Styela clava: one gene and its partner. The protein of the gene in region 1 purifies or fractionates together with the protein of each later gene. This does not show direct contact. Links are inferred from orthologs where the notes say so. Each region holds a gene or a part of one and is shown on either strand. Other genes may lie near its edges.

Evidence for each region. Proteins that work in one complex are often made in the same cells at the same time.
Region 2: the proteins of uncharacterized protein LOC120332416 (region 1) and 26S proteasome regulatory subunit 6A-B purify together in Homo sapiens (co-immunoprecipitation; 7 studies listed by BioGRID and IntAct, counting the BioPlex papers as one, with this or other methods). This does not show direct contact. The link is inferred for Styela clava from reciprocal best matches to the Homo sapiens genes PSMD10 and PSMC3.

What each region holds. Positions count from the first base shown.
Region 1 is NC_135262.1:2,711,159-2,718,422, reverse strand, and holds the start of uncharacterized protein LOC120332416, read right to left. Parts: upstream 3,060-7,264; 5' UTR 3,057-3,059; coding exon 2,928-3,056; intron 1,586-2,927; coding exon 1,341-1,585; intron 729-1,340; coding exon 401-728; 3' UTR 1-400. UniProt on the Homo sapiens protein: Acts as a chaperone during the assembly of the 26S proteasome, specifically of the PA700/19S regulatory complex (RC).
Region 2 is NC_135255.1:6,372,327-6,379,777, reverse strand, and holds the start of 26S proteasome regulatory subunit 6A-B, read right to left. Parts: upstream 3,033-7,451; 5' UTR 2,880-3,032; coding exon 2,799-2,879; intron 2,167-2,798; coding exon 2,086-2,166; intron 1,876-2,085; coding exon 1,750-1,875; intron 1,260-1,749; coding exon 1,152-1,259; intron 486-1,151; coding exon 423-485; intron 1-422. Other genes in the region: putative small nuclear ribonucleoprotein G, read left to right, coding at 3,366-3,599; centrosomal protein of 131 kDa-like, read right to left, coding at 5,228-7,451.

The sequences.
Region 1 (7,264 bases):
AATGTGCTCATTCAGGGTTTCAATAAGCGGCGAGAATGCGTCATAACTGAATTATCAAACGAAAAAGTGGTATAAAATCAAAAACGTGATGGATAATATTGTTTTGAAGTAAAATAAATTGATTACCGGTATTTAAGCAGGCTCTGAATACAATCTAAATTAACATCATACAAGTCTACAAATTTTCTTCAGATAAAGGTTATAAAGTCTGCTCACGAAAGCTTGCATTCTTGAAAGTTTTTGTTATTAAAAGTTGGTTTGAAGTTGGAGATGAAATTTTTTTGAAAGCTGGACTGATTAGTAGACCCATGGGTAGTTTGCTGTTCTAGTTTGACATAAAGTACTCACTTAAAAGTCGATTAGAACAACCGGGGATAAAAGGGAAATGAATAGTGTTTATTTACGCTTCTCTTACACGCCTAAGTATACCACGTGTCGTGTCTGATGCCAGGCTTATTGGTGTTTTATCATTTTTATTACGAATTGTAGTATCAGCGCCAGCTGAGATGAGTGTTTGTGCTATGTCGACACGATCCTCTTCGCAAGCTAAATGTAGAGCAGTGTTCCCCTCTGAATCAGTACAATTGTAGTTTGTGTTGTATGCAAGTAGTAGCTTCACCATCTTAGTGTTCCCTCGTGAAGCAGCTCGATGTAACGGTGTTGCGTGGAGATGATCCGCTACGTCTGTTTCTGCCCCGCGGGCGAGTAAACCCTCTGCAATTTTGTATCTGTAAAAGCAAATATCATGTCAGAATGGAATAATTTTTCATACATGATCCTAGGTAAAAGAAAGTTGAGATGAGCAGGATACCCCAAGTCACAAAGAATTCTATTACATGAGAGTGTGACAGGCAAAAAGATGGAAGCAAAGTGGGTTTTATGTCCCCTCAAATACATTCTGAATAAATTGTCACTGGTATTAAGATCCGATACCTTCACCCAAAGATGCTTAATAAATGCACAGGTTTTTCATTTGTTACACAAGGAATAGTCTCTAATATTAACTATTATCTTTAAATAAAATGCATTATTTAAGAGCCACTGTAGCTTAGAACATTGAATAACTGCTTTTTGTGGCTTGTTTAAATCATTAATTAATGAAGGAAATCAAAAATGCCATGTTCATTACCATCTGGGGCGAATAATTTGTTCCACATTCTTATTCTCAAACCAGACCCATTTTATTTGACCAACTACTTGAGCATATGGGGCATTTTGTTTAGTATTACTGTATATCTTAATTATATAAATTATTTATTGAAAAAAACCCTCTTTCATTTATATTGCCTATAAAAAAAAACCAAATAGTACACGAAGTAAATTTTGAGTAACAAAATTACCGATCTCTCGATGCAGCATAATGCAAAGGAGTCTGTCCTGTTGAGTTTCTTGCATTTATCGCAGCACCTCTTGACATCAGTGCAAAAGCGATCTCTTCATTCCCATTTGACGAAGCAATGTGAAGAGCTGACCAATCACTGTCATCCTTTGCATTCACATCAGCTCCATTGTCCAATAGGAAATCAGCAATGTCTCGCTTCCCAGCAGACGTTGCCCAATGTAGTGGTGTTCGATCTGTTTGGTCCTAAAATAGGAAAACATTTTCTTATTTGCCTGAAGGGAAAGATCAAATGAGGTAATTATATGGCGAACCATACTTTCCCAATAACTCTTAGCTTGTAAAATAAGAAGAATGATTAAATAAGAATAACATAATCTCTTTCCACGAAATGGCAAGTATATTTGTGAGCTTTCAATAGATCATAGTCTAATTTCTTCAGACAAAACAAGACATGGCTTAATAAAACAGCAATAATTGTCACTCATACTGGTACTATTAATTAGCTATTCTGATACTTATCATATGTAGGCCTATATGGTGAGTGACAGTCCGAAATGCCCAAAGCATATTATTGGAAATTCAAACAAATTCGGATCAATTGCATTTATAAGTGATTCTTGGTCCAGGAAAGATTTTAACAGAATATTCACATGAATTTATTTTATTATGGCTTAGTTTAACTTTTGACACTGTAAAAACGAAAACTAATCAAAATGATGTTCATCCCTAGCGCTACTATTCTACCAAATTTAATTCCTATATATTTAAAGTGGCTTGTGTGAATTTATCTGGTAAATATACCACAGAAATATATAATAAAAATATAAGTAACTAAACAACTAAAATATGTTTGTAGGAAGGAATTTGATTCTGGTCAAATGAAACGTAACATAATACATAGGTTCTTGAAGTGAACCAAACGAAGCCCCAGGGCTCTGTGAGAGAAACTCAGAGGAATATTTTTTTTTAAAACTAAGCAGCGAATACATTTGAATCATTAAATAAAGTAATTTCAGTTTACTCAGGAGCAATAATCGGTAAATAACAATGTGTTTTTTTATTTTTATAAATTTATTGTGGGGTTCCGTAAACAATAGTAACACCAAAACATTGAGAACCCCTGACATAATATATGCGTGTATACTGCAAGAATCTTGAATCATCTTTACCAATTAAAATATAAAACGAGAATATCGGTTGGAAACCGAAGACTTATCGATCGATAGTTAGGGGATCCCCCAAAACAGAAACTGCAGTTTCGATTCATCCGCTCTTGTAACTTGCGCACTGCGCATCGCACACACACACTCGGCGGGTTTCAAAATTCTCTCGCTTTACAAAAATCTAGATCACTATATCAATAATTGATTGATAACTCGCTAATTATACGACATAATTCGCCCAAAATCAATAGGCTTCTGGTCCGAGATAAGATGAATGCACATGCAAAATCTGGAGCAGATTCAATCTCGCTTTCGTGAGATATCGCGTGCATCTAACAGACACACACACAGACATACAGACAAATACCTATCAATATACTTACCGATCTTAAGATCGATAAGTAATGAAAATGAGAAGTCACCTTAATATTGACAAACTGTGGCTTCTGTGATATTCTGTATTGCAGTAGAGCTTGTTGTCCGTCGTAAGCAAAATTACAAATTTCTTCGTTTGAAACTCCAGCTGACATATTTACTATCAAATCGGTCATATTTATTCTGGAAAATAGGAATGATATAGTGAGTAAGTAATTGGAGTAAAATTGTTCTGATTGGTCATGCTGCATTGACTTGCAATCACAGCTGCAGGGATGAAGATTGGCAAGTTTGTCTTGATTGCAGAGTCACATTTTTCAAACTCTCCAAAAGGGGAAATTTTTGACATCAAATTCAAAATCTTTCATGGAAACTGAAAAAAAAAATACATTTGGAGTTGACTAAGCATTCTCATTAAGAATATCTGAAAATTTCATTAGGTATTTGGGCCCGCGCGAAATGCAGTGTCTATCACCATTAGAACATTATTTATTAGTTCTGGTAAGACGAATTGTGGTAGTGTTTCCTTATTCTAATCAACTCCCTTAGCACTGTTCCTTCACATAATCGCCAGTTTCGTTCGAGTTACCTAGTATGGGCCATATTATTTTAAACCTAAATAGCAACTGCATTTATTTAAATTGCGCCAAGTATTCTGATTAAAAATAGAATACATTAGAGTCTCAAACCCAGAGTCTGTGTCAAAGTTTTCATTAATCAAGAAGTCAAAGTCATTTTTGCAGAACAGAAAACCAAGATTATGATTTTCCAGATAAACATATTACTTTATTAGAAGCCAATTGTTTGGTAATAATAACATTCTAAATCTTATGCTAACAAGACAGCTGTTAATCCTATAACTTTAACTATGCAACATAACTACTCTTTCCTGACTCCGACAAAATATTTACTGCCTTTAACTATTAGAGAATTATAACATAAGCAAGTACAGCAGTTCTTCGAGTGACCTGCAAATAGCCTATATCTCCTATTTGCCACAAAAAGTTTTGGCTTCTTCATTTTTGTTAAATAAACCCACTTAGATAGACTTTTAACCGTAAAATGGTGCTAGCTCTCACAAGTAAGAAGTCGGAAAAATTGTGGCTCGCAAGGTCATTTAGTCCAACCTTTAACATGTTTCATAATTACATAAAAACATTCCCATTTGATACAATTTTAATCATAAACATATGATATTCAGCCTCCAGATGTATGCCGACTTCCTTCGCCGACAGAGCGCCTTAGCTAACAATTAAAGTCAGACAAAAGGCCGGGTATAATTTTACTCAAAGAATGTAATAAAGGCAGGGCTCGCGAGACCGCCTTTGTTATATGTTTAAATGGCCCTTTGACATAAAATCAAGCCTGCTATATCGATTAAATAGACATGTTTATTTATATGAATGCCACTTGAAAAGAATCATAAATATTATCGCCTCTGACATCCCACAACGCGATATAACCATGGCGATACTGACGCTTGCTCCCCGCATTCCTTTGCAAAATTGTCTATTCATGGAAACATGACATAACATATTTCAATAACCTTTGACCTGGTATGAAGAATGCGCTCAAGTGAATATATTACGAAAATGTGATTACTATATCTATTTTTAAAGATGGGTTAAATAGGATAAAAAGTTCAAGATTGCTACAAACACAATCTTGGGTACTTGAATAAGGGGGAAAAAAATGACGATACGCGAGTTTGCGTGCAGTTATCATCCATTTGGAATAAAACGTCACTAAAACAAATTTATTTTCAGATGTTCTAAATATTTTGCGCTCAGTTTTCTGGCATTTTATGTAGTATGGTATATGTAACCTTTTGACTCATACTTTGAATTATAACGATATTGTCAACTGCCGACAAAACGATTTTTTGTAATAGAATCATATATATATACTTCATCAATGCAACATTTTCAACGCTGATTTTGAGAGTGTTCAGGAGAGTTGGCGCTTACAAACAGGCTCACGCATTAAAAACTATCATTTTCATTCAAAGTATAAGTATATTTAGATTTTCCCACACAAAAATCATACACGAAACACAAACAATGAACACACAGAAGAAGAGAAAATCGGGGAAACTGGCAAAATCTTTGTAGATATTGTCGCGGACTAAAGTGTCCGCGTTTATGTTTTGTGTATATATATATTTTTATGTTTATGGACCTTTCCCCGACCTTTGACCCTCGAAAAATTCTTCCTATACTTTACCATTGCAAAATTTTCAGGGCTATTTTAAGAGTGCTTTTGCGAGTTGGCGCCTGTAAAATGGGGTATGTGTTTCAAACCATCATTATGATTCATCGCATACAACATACTGTTTTTTAAAAGTACCGGTAAAGAATTTCAGGCTAGTCTATCACAGCTATTTCTACAATAATTTTTATCACTGCAATTAAATTAAAACTCCTAGGAAGACAGCGTGATCATTGAATCATCTGATTTTTATTTAAGTTTCTGAAATACAACTAAAAACTAACGAATAGAGTTCAAAAACGCGAAAACGAGGTAATGTTTACAACCAGCCTTGAAAATCTGTCTGAGTGAGAAAAGTGTCTGAGCGGATGCGAAAAGGGGGGCATTGTTACGTCACTCTTCGCATCTTGCTGATTGGCCAATGTCACGAAATAAACAAGGAAGTCGATACTCGGGGAAAGGTCCGTAGACTGTTATGTTGACATTTATTTAATGCTGTTTTGTCGGATTTGGACTCCGACCACTCACTACATGTGAGGCAAAAACTGTCTTTCGATCTCTCTTCTCCGGCTGCCGCGCTGGCGGGCGGTCGTGTTTTCGGTTCCTTAGTTATATTTTGTTGTGTTGTCTGTTTATGTTGTTTTAAGTCTGATATTGGAATTGCCGAACAATAAACAACCAATCCGGAACCTTTGAGTCTTCTGATTCATTCTACAACCACGGTAACAACATCATGGTCCGTGACAATATACATGCATATACAACCCACATTCAACACAAACATATATTTAAAATAAAAAAGACGAAGACACGAACGGGTATCGTTCGGGCATTAAACTTGTGTAAACATAAACACTCGGTGGGTCCCAATTTATAAATACAATTTAATAAATACACTACAGTGCTTTTTCTATGGAAATAGGGAATAAAAAACACTTGTCGAAATGGTGATGCTCAGTGTTCCCTCTAAAGTGCGCGCGCGCACACAGCTTTCAGAGGCTGCGCACAGACGTATTTCGATGTAATGTAACAATATTCTCGGTTAGCAGGTTGAGAAAGTTTGTTGTTGGCCCACCCATTACCCGGTTAGAACGCCAAAATTTCTTCATTGGTTTTTGCACAAATATTAGTCATTTCCAAAAAAGTGCGCAGACACCAAAATTCCTGCGCACACATACTACAAAAAATTAGAGGGAACATTGGTGATGCTGTAGTTCAATTTCTGTGCAAAAATAACACAGTAACAAAAAATTGTTACTAAATAAACAAGCTTTGTAAATAGATTGAATGTTTCATAACAGTCTATGCAAAAACACGGTATGCAATCCAATCCTTATCCATAAACTTCTTTGATCCCGGTGGATGGGCCTTGCTCATGTTGGTATTACGCGATACAAATCCAACAGTAAATACCAAAACACACAGCGCGTAGCATTCTCAGTCAAACAGCCAACAAGTAAGTCATATTTATTCTGGAAAATAGGAATGATATAGTGAGTAAGTAATTGGAGTAAAATTGTTCTGATTGGTCATGCTGCATTGACTTGCAATCACAGCTGCAGGGATGAAGATTGGCAAGTTTGTCTTGATTGCAGAGTCACATTTTTCAAACTCTCCAAAAGGGGAAATTTTTGACATCAAATTCAAAATCTTTCATGGAAACTGAAAAAAAAAATACATTTGGAGTTGACTAAGCATTCTCATTAAGAATATCTGAAAATTTCATTAGGTATTTGGGCCCGCGCGAAATGCAGTGTCTATCACCATTAGAACATTATTTATTAGTTCTGGTAAGACGAATTGTGGTAGTGTTTCCTTATTCTAATCAACTCCCTTAGCACTGTTCCTTCACATAATCGCCAGTTTCGTTCGAGTTACCTAGTATGGGCCATATTATTTTAAACCTAAATAGCAACTGCATTTATTTAAATTGCGCCAAGTATTCTGATTAAAAATAGAATACATTAGAGTCTCAAACCCAGAGTCTGTGTCAAAGTTTTCATTAATCAAGAAGTCAAAGTCATTTTTGCAGAACAGAAAACCAAGATTATGATTTTCCAGATAAACATATTACTTTATTAGAAGCCAATTGTTTGGTAATAATAACATTCTAAATCTTATGCTAACAAGACAGCTGTTAATCCTATAACTTTAACTATGCAACATAACTACTCTT
Region 2 (7,451 bases), on another chromosome or scaffold:
TAGGATTTTGGGACCTCCCGTAGTATGTGAACCAAGATGGTGGACACCGGAACGTAGTACGAGTGCAAGGTTAGGGTTAGGCCATAATTCCAGGGGCCATAATTCCAGGGACAAATACTACGGGAGTCACTTGGCTAGTCCCTGAACTAGTAATAGGACTAAAATAAGGAAAATTGAAATAAAATCATGGCCAAACCCAACATGGCACACACACGTACTACGTTCCGGTGTCCGCCATCTTGGTTCACATACTACCGGACCGGTTACTAGAGTACAGTACCGGATTTTAAACTTCGAAATATAACACACACAGTCAATGCAATAAAGTCAGTCATTCAACCTGTATATAAATCAAAGTTTATATTCCAGATTTTTTAAATCTGTTTCAGAAGCAACCTGGCAAACACTATTATTAATCTTACCACAAGATCACCAGGAGACATATCTTCTGGTTCAACAAGACCAATCACAGGCAGGAAGTACGTCTAAAAACAAAAAGAGAGAATATATTGATTCATCAAACCATAAAACGGATATAAATTATATTAAAATGAAGAATCAAAATTTGAAAGCCTCTAATGAATGACTGTTTGCTAATGATCTGGCCGTTTACATACACTCACTTAAATAAATGAAACAGATTCAGTTATATTGTTCTCTCAATATCTAACTAGTGCAGCGGTTTCCAAAGAGACGCTAATTGAGCCACAACAAATTTACTTTCTGTTATGTAGTGTCTGCCTCTATTGTTACATAAAGATAGAAATAGACACTACCTACTGGAATTTCGCGAGCTGCAGTTTATTTATCTGCTGAATCGAGTTTAGCCAACATGAGTGATTTTTTCATCATTCTGCTGACTCGAGTTTAGCAAACATGAGTGATTTTTTCACCATTCCAGAGGAAAATCAGGCAGAGATGAGGAAGAAGAGTTTACCTTTTACCTTTATTCCTTAGGCCTACATATTTACTAACTTTAAAAGGTATGAAGTACACATTAACGATCATAAAATTGAGTTTTATTTGATGGTAGCAGTTTTTTTCTAAAAGTTTTTTCCCTGATAATTTGGCGCTCCCGAACAAAAAGTTTGGGCACCACTGAATTAGTGTATACACATAACATGCTATATATATAAAATCAGATGGCATACTTGTCTAGTTGATGTTTTAATCACTGCACATTTCCCCTTGCGCTGAGAATCTAAATCAACATTTGCTCCGTCCTCTTCCGCTTGCTCTTGAGGATCAACATCAAGAAGCTGAAATATTTCATTTTTTCATTGTTTTGTAAATACGGTAATTAAAGTCGTTTAGAGAAGATTTAAAAGGGTTATTCATTGATAATGATAACCAATCAATATGACATGAGATTAGTTGATGTCAGTTCATAAAAGCATCTTTTGATTTTTAGAATAGGAATATCATATTTATCTTGGGGGAGCAGAGAGACTTTAGGGCGGCGTTATCCCTTTGCCAAACCACTGCCTCTCATCCAGTTACCAGTCCATGTCGGGTATGGCAATAGTTTATTCAGATAATGAACTTGGATTTGCCGTACCCAACCAGCGGTTATGCGAACCACCCTACGATGGCTAAGAGTACCTACATATGTCCCAAAGCAATCGAATCCTTGCAGAGAAATCGAAGGTTGGGATGGCAAGCGTATTCCCCTCTCTTAGCATGATGTACCAACCTCCTGGCTAGAAAAAATATATAGAGTGAAGTTTCAAGTTTCAACATCATACATACCTCAATGACATTTGAGACAAGATATGGCAGCGTTTTGTTAACTTTAATTTTTTCAGCATTTTCCTTTATTTTGTCTTTCATAGCTTGCAATTCATGTGATATTCTCATCGTCTCACTTCGCATAATCTGGAAAGCAATTCAACATAAGGTATATTTTGCTCCGAAGCATTCTTACACAGTGAAAACAAAAATTTGGCACTAAAGTTCTGTCAAACAGTTTGAAAATGAGGGATTAAAAAAAAAAATTGAGAACAAAGAGCATTATATAAATATCTATATACCGTAAATAAATTGTTTGTGAATATATTATTTAAGGTAAAATAATATGAAGAAAACCTTAATTTCATTATCAAGAAGTTTCGTTCGACTTGCAATTTCCTCATTGCTCATTTTCATAACTTCTTCACCGAGTGCTTCCTAAAAAAGTCATATACAAAGTTAAACAGGCATCATTGGATGGCAAGCTCAAAACACGCTGAAATTGAAATTTTTTAATAATATAAAATAAAAAATAGTGATTTTTATCAACCTTTAAACCTGTTACTCAAGTGTGTGGTCGTGTGGAGTTAATAACTATTACCGGTACACTACCGGTATTTAAATCCAAAAAGCAATATTCAAAGTTTTTCGAATTTGGCAACAAACTGACAAATCAAAACCTTAATTCAGAGACTGGGCATTCAACTTTTAGGTAACTTATAGCATGAAAGTATATATGTTATATATATTCATTTTCTGACTATATAGCCAGCATAGGCTAACTGTTAAGTATGAGTATAAGTTCATTTCGACTCTATAATCAGCATAATAGACGATAATATAATTGAAAACAAAACTGATTATAGAATCAGGAGAGCAAACAAAATCTTAATTAGGGTTTGAAGCATACAGATTTTAGATGGAAAGGTATTGTTAAAAGAAGTAGTAGTATTAAAAGTAAAAGTATTAAAATCAATTACTCAGTGAAAAAAAATATACAAAAAAATAAGTAATGTTGATTATTAGTGCCTCATCAAAATTTTATCTAACATTGTTTGCGGTTTTCTCACCTCGACACTGTCAAACATATCCATTTGTTGTTCGTCTCCAGTAGGACTTTTTAGCTTCTCATCAATTGCCGGAGGTGCCATCTTCAATTATACTACTGCGACAGCGATTTAATTTCTAAAAAATTGTGTTCTAATAGAAAAATATATGATGATAGCTTGGAGTTTCAAGGTACGGCACAGTACGTAACTTCCAGACCTCTAAATGTAAATCCGTCCCTTCTGAAACGACAGAACAACAAAATCTGACAATGCAAATATATTAGATGCTTACTCATACTTTTGCCACTGGAGCGTTACGGGTAGTTTTTTAGGAAATAAATACAATTTTGGTTGAATATTTTTCCTATTTGTATATTTTATGATTAAATAATTAATTAATAAATAAGTTAAGACCAGAGTAAGCATATTGCATCATTTACTCCATATTCTTTTTGATGAGCTCAAACGCTAGGGGGAGAAGCAAGCTACTTCTTAAAATAAGGACGCGCGTTTTGATTGCGCTCAGTTCACTTTCTGCGCACTGTATGTTTCGGTATTTGCTGTTGGATTGTATCGCGTAATATCAAGATGAGCAAGGCCCATCCACCAGAATTGAAGAAGTTTATGGATAAAAGATTGGATTTAAAGTTGAATGGTGGACGATCTGTTACGGGAGTTTTGCGAGGATTCGATCCTTTCATGAATCTAGTTGTGGATGATGGAACAGAGCGCAGAAAAGACGGGACCACTGCACCCGTCGGAATGGTGGTCGTTCGCGGAAATTCGATATTAATGTTGGAAGCATTGGAAAGGATTCAATGATTTTTAATGAACTAATACCAACCACAAAAAAACTGATTTAACAATCCGTGATTGTGCATAGACTTATAAAAACATTTCGATCTATTTTCGGTCTTGCTAATTATCGAAAACAGCGTTTATCATAGTTTCTTTTTGTTTGTGCTGTTTTCGGTAAGTTGTAAGAGCGATTTTTATTTATGTTTGTATACCCTACTTTGATCTAGTGTAGCTTCCAAACATGTACTACTTAAATACTTGATTGCAAAACAAGCTAAACAGTGACTGCTTACCTCCAATAGTGATGGTTTGACACTATTGTTTCTATACCCCCAAAGTGGCATTGCGAACCATATGTATTTTAACTTAGCATATCATTGGGAAATAGTATATCTGTTAATATTGAGCAAAATAAAATGCATAGTTTCCTGTGGCTCTAATTACCTTCATTCTGTCATTTTTAACTGTTGCAGTTGTGTAATTTCAGTTCATGCTAGATCTATGTATGAAGGTAATTGAATTGTAAGTCTTATTTTCTATGTGCCAATAGCATTTTGCTATGGAATAAAATTTTTAAAAGTGAACGTCTATGTTTTAAATCTCAACACAATCCTATTGAGAAAGCCTGCAATGTGATACACATAGACGGATGTGCATATCCGCATTCGCTTAGAAACATTATCCCATAACGAATGCCTGTCAAAATGGGCTGTTATCGTCCTATTAATTGTTTGTCGTTTTCTTTGATCCTTGTTTTCTTGAGATATAAGCAAAGTATAAAAAGGGAAGCCGGGAAAATAACTTCTCCCAACGGATTGAGGAAATAAAAGAATAATACCCAATTTTGATATTTATATGATTCCAAAATCAATTAGATTGCAAATGAAGTGATGTTCCAAGACCACCTCTTACAGTGGTTCCCAACCTTTTATGGCTCGTGGCCACGCTGTTTGTTTATCATTCCAGTGTTATTTTGATTGGTAGATTCCAAGTTCCATTATGTTCAAACAATTCATGCACTAAAAAAGGGAGGAACACCATGTGAAATAACCTCATCAAGCAACGAAACTAGGAAGAACGGAGAGTTTTCTTGAGAAGTGGATAGTAAAATCAGTTTTACGCCTAGCATTGTGCCCCCCCCCCCCCCTGACCTAATATTTAATGCCGTACCCTACTTACTTTCTGTGCTCAATCCGAATGAACTACTCACTTATCCTGCCTCTTTCACCTTCCCATTTTAAAAGAGCCGGCACAATGAAAAGTAACTATTATAATGTATCAAATATATCAAAATTTGCAATAACTAAAAAATAAAACATTTCAGTAAAACATGATACCCATGGTGAAATTGAGTAATCATTTTAGTACAAAAATATATTCTCTATTCTCTGTGAGGGATAAAACGCTGCTATGCTAAAATACAGAACAAGGCACATGTGTCGCCCAAACTACCAAAACAGTCCAGGTAGGGCATGTATAAAACCATCAATGTGACAATGTAGTGACCAAATGAACGATTTGAGCTTTGGACAAAGCTGGAGCTACAAGGTTATACCGATGACATTATGTTAGGCTCAGGGCTGAAAATCAAAGACCTTAAGCTGGACCAGGCAAGATATTTGATGGTGAATTCTATTAACCAGGAGATATTGCTATTTCTTCCTGCCAAGGAGTTGTTTTCGTTGTGCTTCCAACAAGCCTTCTAGATGATCAGCACGCTTAACTGCGGACTCATGCTGTTGTTTTATTTGTGCAACTGATTCTTCTTTTTTCACAATTGCTGCTTTCACTCTTTTGTGTACTTCAGCAAGCTCCTCTTCTTTTTCTTGGTTTACTCGATCCAGTTCCAACCGGTGTCGAGCTCGCATTTGTGCGATTTCATTCTTCATCCTCTTATTTTCTTCCTCTGTGTGTACTAGCCGCTCAGCAAATTCGTCACGAACTATATCTGTGACGTTCCCTCTTTCTTCCACAAGTCTGTTTTTCACCTTTTTCACATCTAAGATTTCTTGTTCCTTATGAGCAATTGTGCTTTTCAGCCTCATATTTTCACCCTCCATGTCAGAATATTGCACTTTCATGTTGTTGTATTTTTCATGAGTCTGTCGTTCCAAAACTTCAATCTCTTTGAGTTCCGATTCATACTTTTCCCGTATTCTCTTGATTCTATTTTCAGCTGTTTTTTCGATTTGACTTCTTTGTACACCCATGTCCTTTTCAAGCTGTTCTATTACAGTTTCAATTTCAGAATCACGATCTTGTCGTACTGCATCTTTCAATTCTCTTTCTTTTTGGAGAACATATGCTTCCTGCTTTTTCATATAAGTTTCTTGCCAGGCTTGTTTTTCTAATTCCAACCGTTCTTTCAGAGTTTCGATTTCCACTGTATGGCGTCGTTCAGCTTCCTCTTTGCTTTTCTCATATTCATCTGTTAGTGCGGAGGTGGCAAGGCTGTTATGTTTTTCCAATTGTTCTTTTAGGCGATCAATGTCAGCTCGTTGTCGAGCAGCTTGCTCATTCAGCCTTTCTTTTTCATCGGATACTTCAGCATACAATCTTCTTCTTTGTTGCTGCAGAGCAATTTCTTCTTGTTCAAGTTGCTTTTCATATCTCTGTCTTGCCATTTCTCTTTCTCGATTGCAAGCTGCATCTTTTTCCCGTTCGAGATGTTCACGCAACTCCTCAGTTTGTCGAATATATCTTTGACCGGCTCTCTCATCTGATTGCAGTAACTCTGCTTCATGAATTGCTTTTATTTTTTTTACTTCCTGTTTATGTTTAGCTATTAACCTTTGTATCTCAGGTTCCAATCCTTTTACAGTCATTTCTTTTATAGTTTTTGTCTTATCCTCAATCCATTTTTCTCTTCGCAACTTCTCAGCAGCCGATAATACTTCTTTTTGCTTTCGGACTTCAATAGCATGGGCCTCTTGAAGTTCTTTTATCTTTTTCTGATATTTACTTTCAGCTTGCTTCATTTCAATAACAACCCTTTCACATTTTTCACCAAGAACTTTTTTGTCATCAATTAGTTGATCGATGAAAGAAAGATGCCTTTGGATTGTTGATTCATATTGCTCTTTCTGCATTTTCAATCGTTGGTTCATTTCTTTTTCCTGTTCATGTGCATGACGAACTGTCAATTCACGTTGCTGTGCAAGTGCTTTCTTTAGCAAATCCACACTTTTTGTCTTTTCGTCCACATTCAGACGTAATTTTAGCAACTCTGTTGTAACTTGAGAAGCAGCTTTCTCTGCTTGAACTAATTCAGCCATTTTATCAGATTCTGAAATTTCTTGATGTCTGTGTTCTGAGACATGACTAGTGTGAGAGCGCGCTGCCTCATACTTTTCATCCTGTTTCTCTACATTATCCAAAAACTCCATGAGATTGCTAAGTTTAGCTTTTGTTAACAAGTTGTTTGTGCTGTCTTGTACCGGTTTTGTACCATCTATGAAATCACCAGCACCACGAGCACTGCCAGAAACTTTTGAATTGGATACAGAGCTCAAGTGATCTGCCTGCATTTCATCTATCCACGCAAGCTTTTCATCAAGTTTACCATTAGTTTCTATTTTTGTTAGTTGCTCAGGCTCAGCTTCAAGTTGTTGTATTGTTTCTAACAAGCTTTCCAAGAGTCCTTGACTTTTTGTCGTTTCTCCTGGTGATTCAGGTAATTCTTCAGGGATACTTTCTTCATCTTGAGAAGGTATATCGTCTTTTTGTGCTGAATTATAGCTTGAACTTTTTGCAGTGGAAAATTTTGTTTCTTCAAATATCCTATCTATTTTATCTTCAACATTTTGAATAACTTTGGAATCGCTTGTTTCAGATCGTTCTGTCTGTTTTTTGTAAACTGTACGAATCCGACTCTGT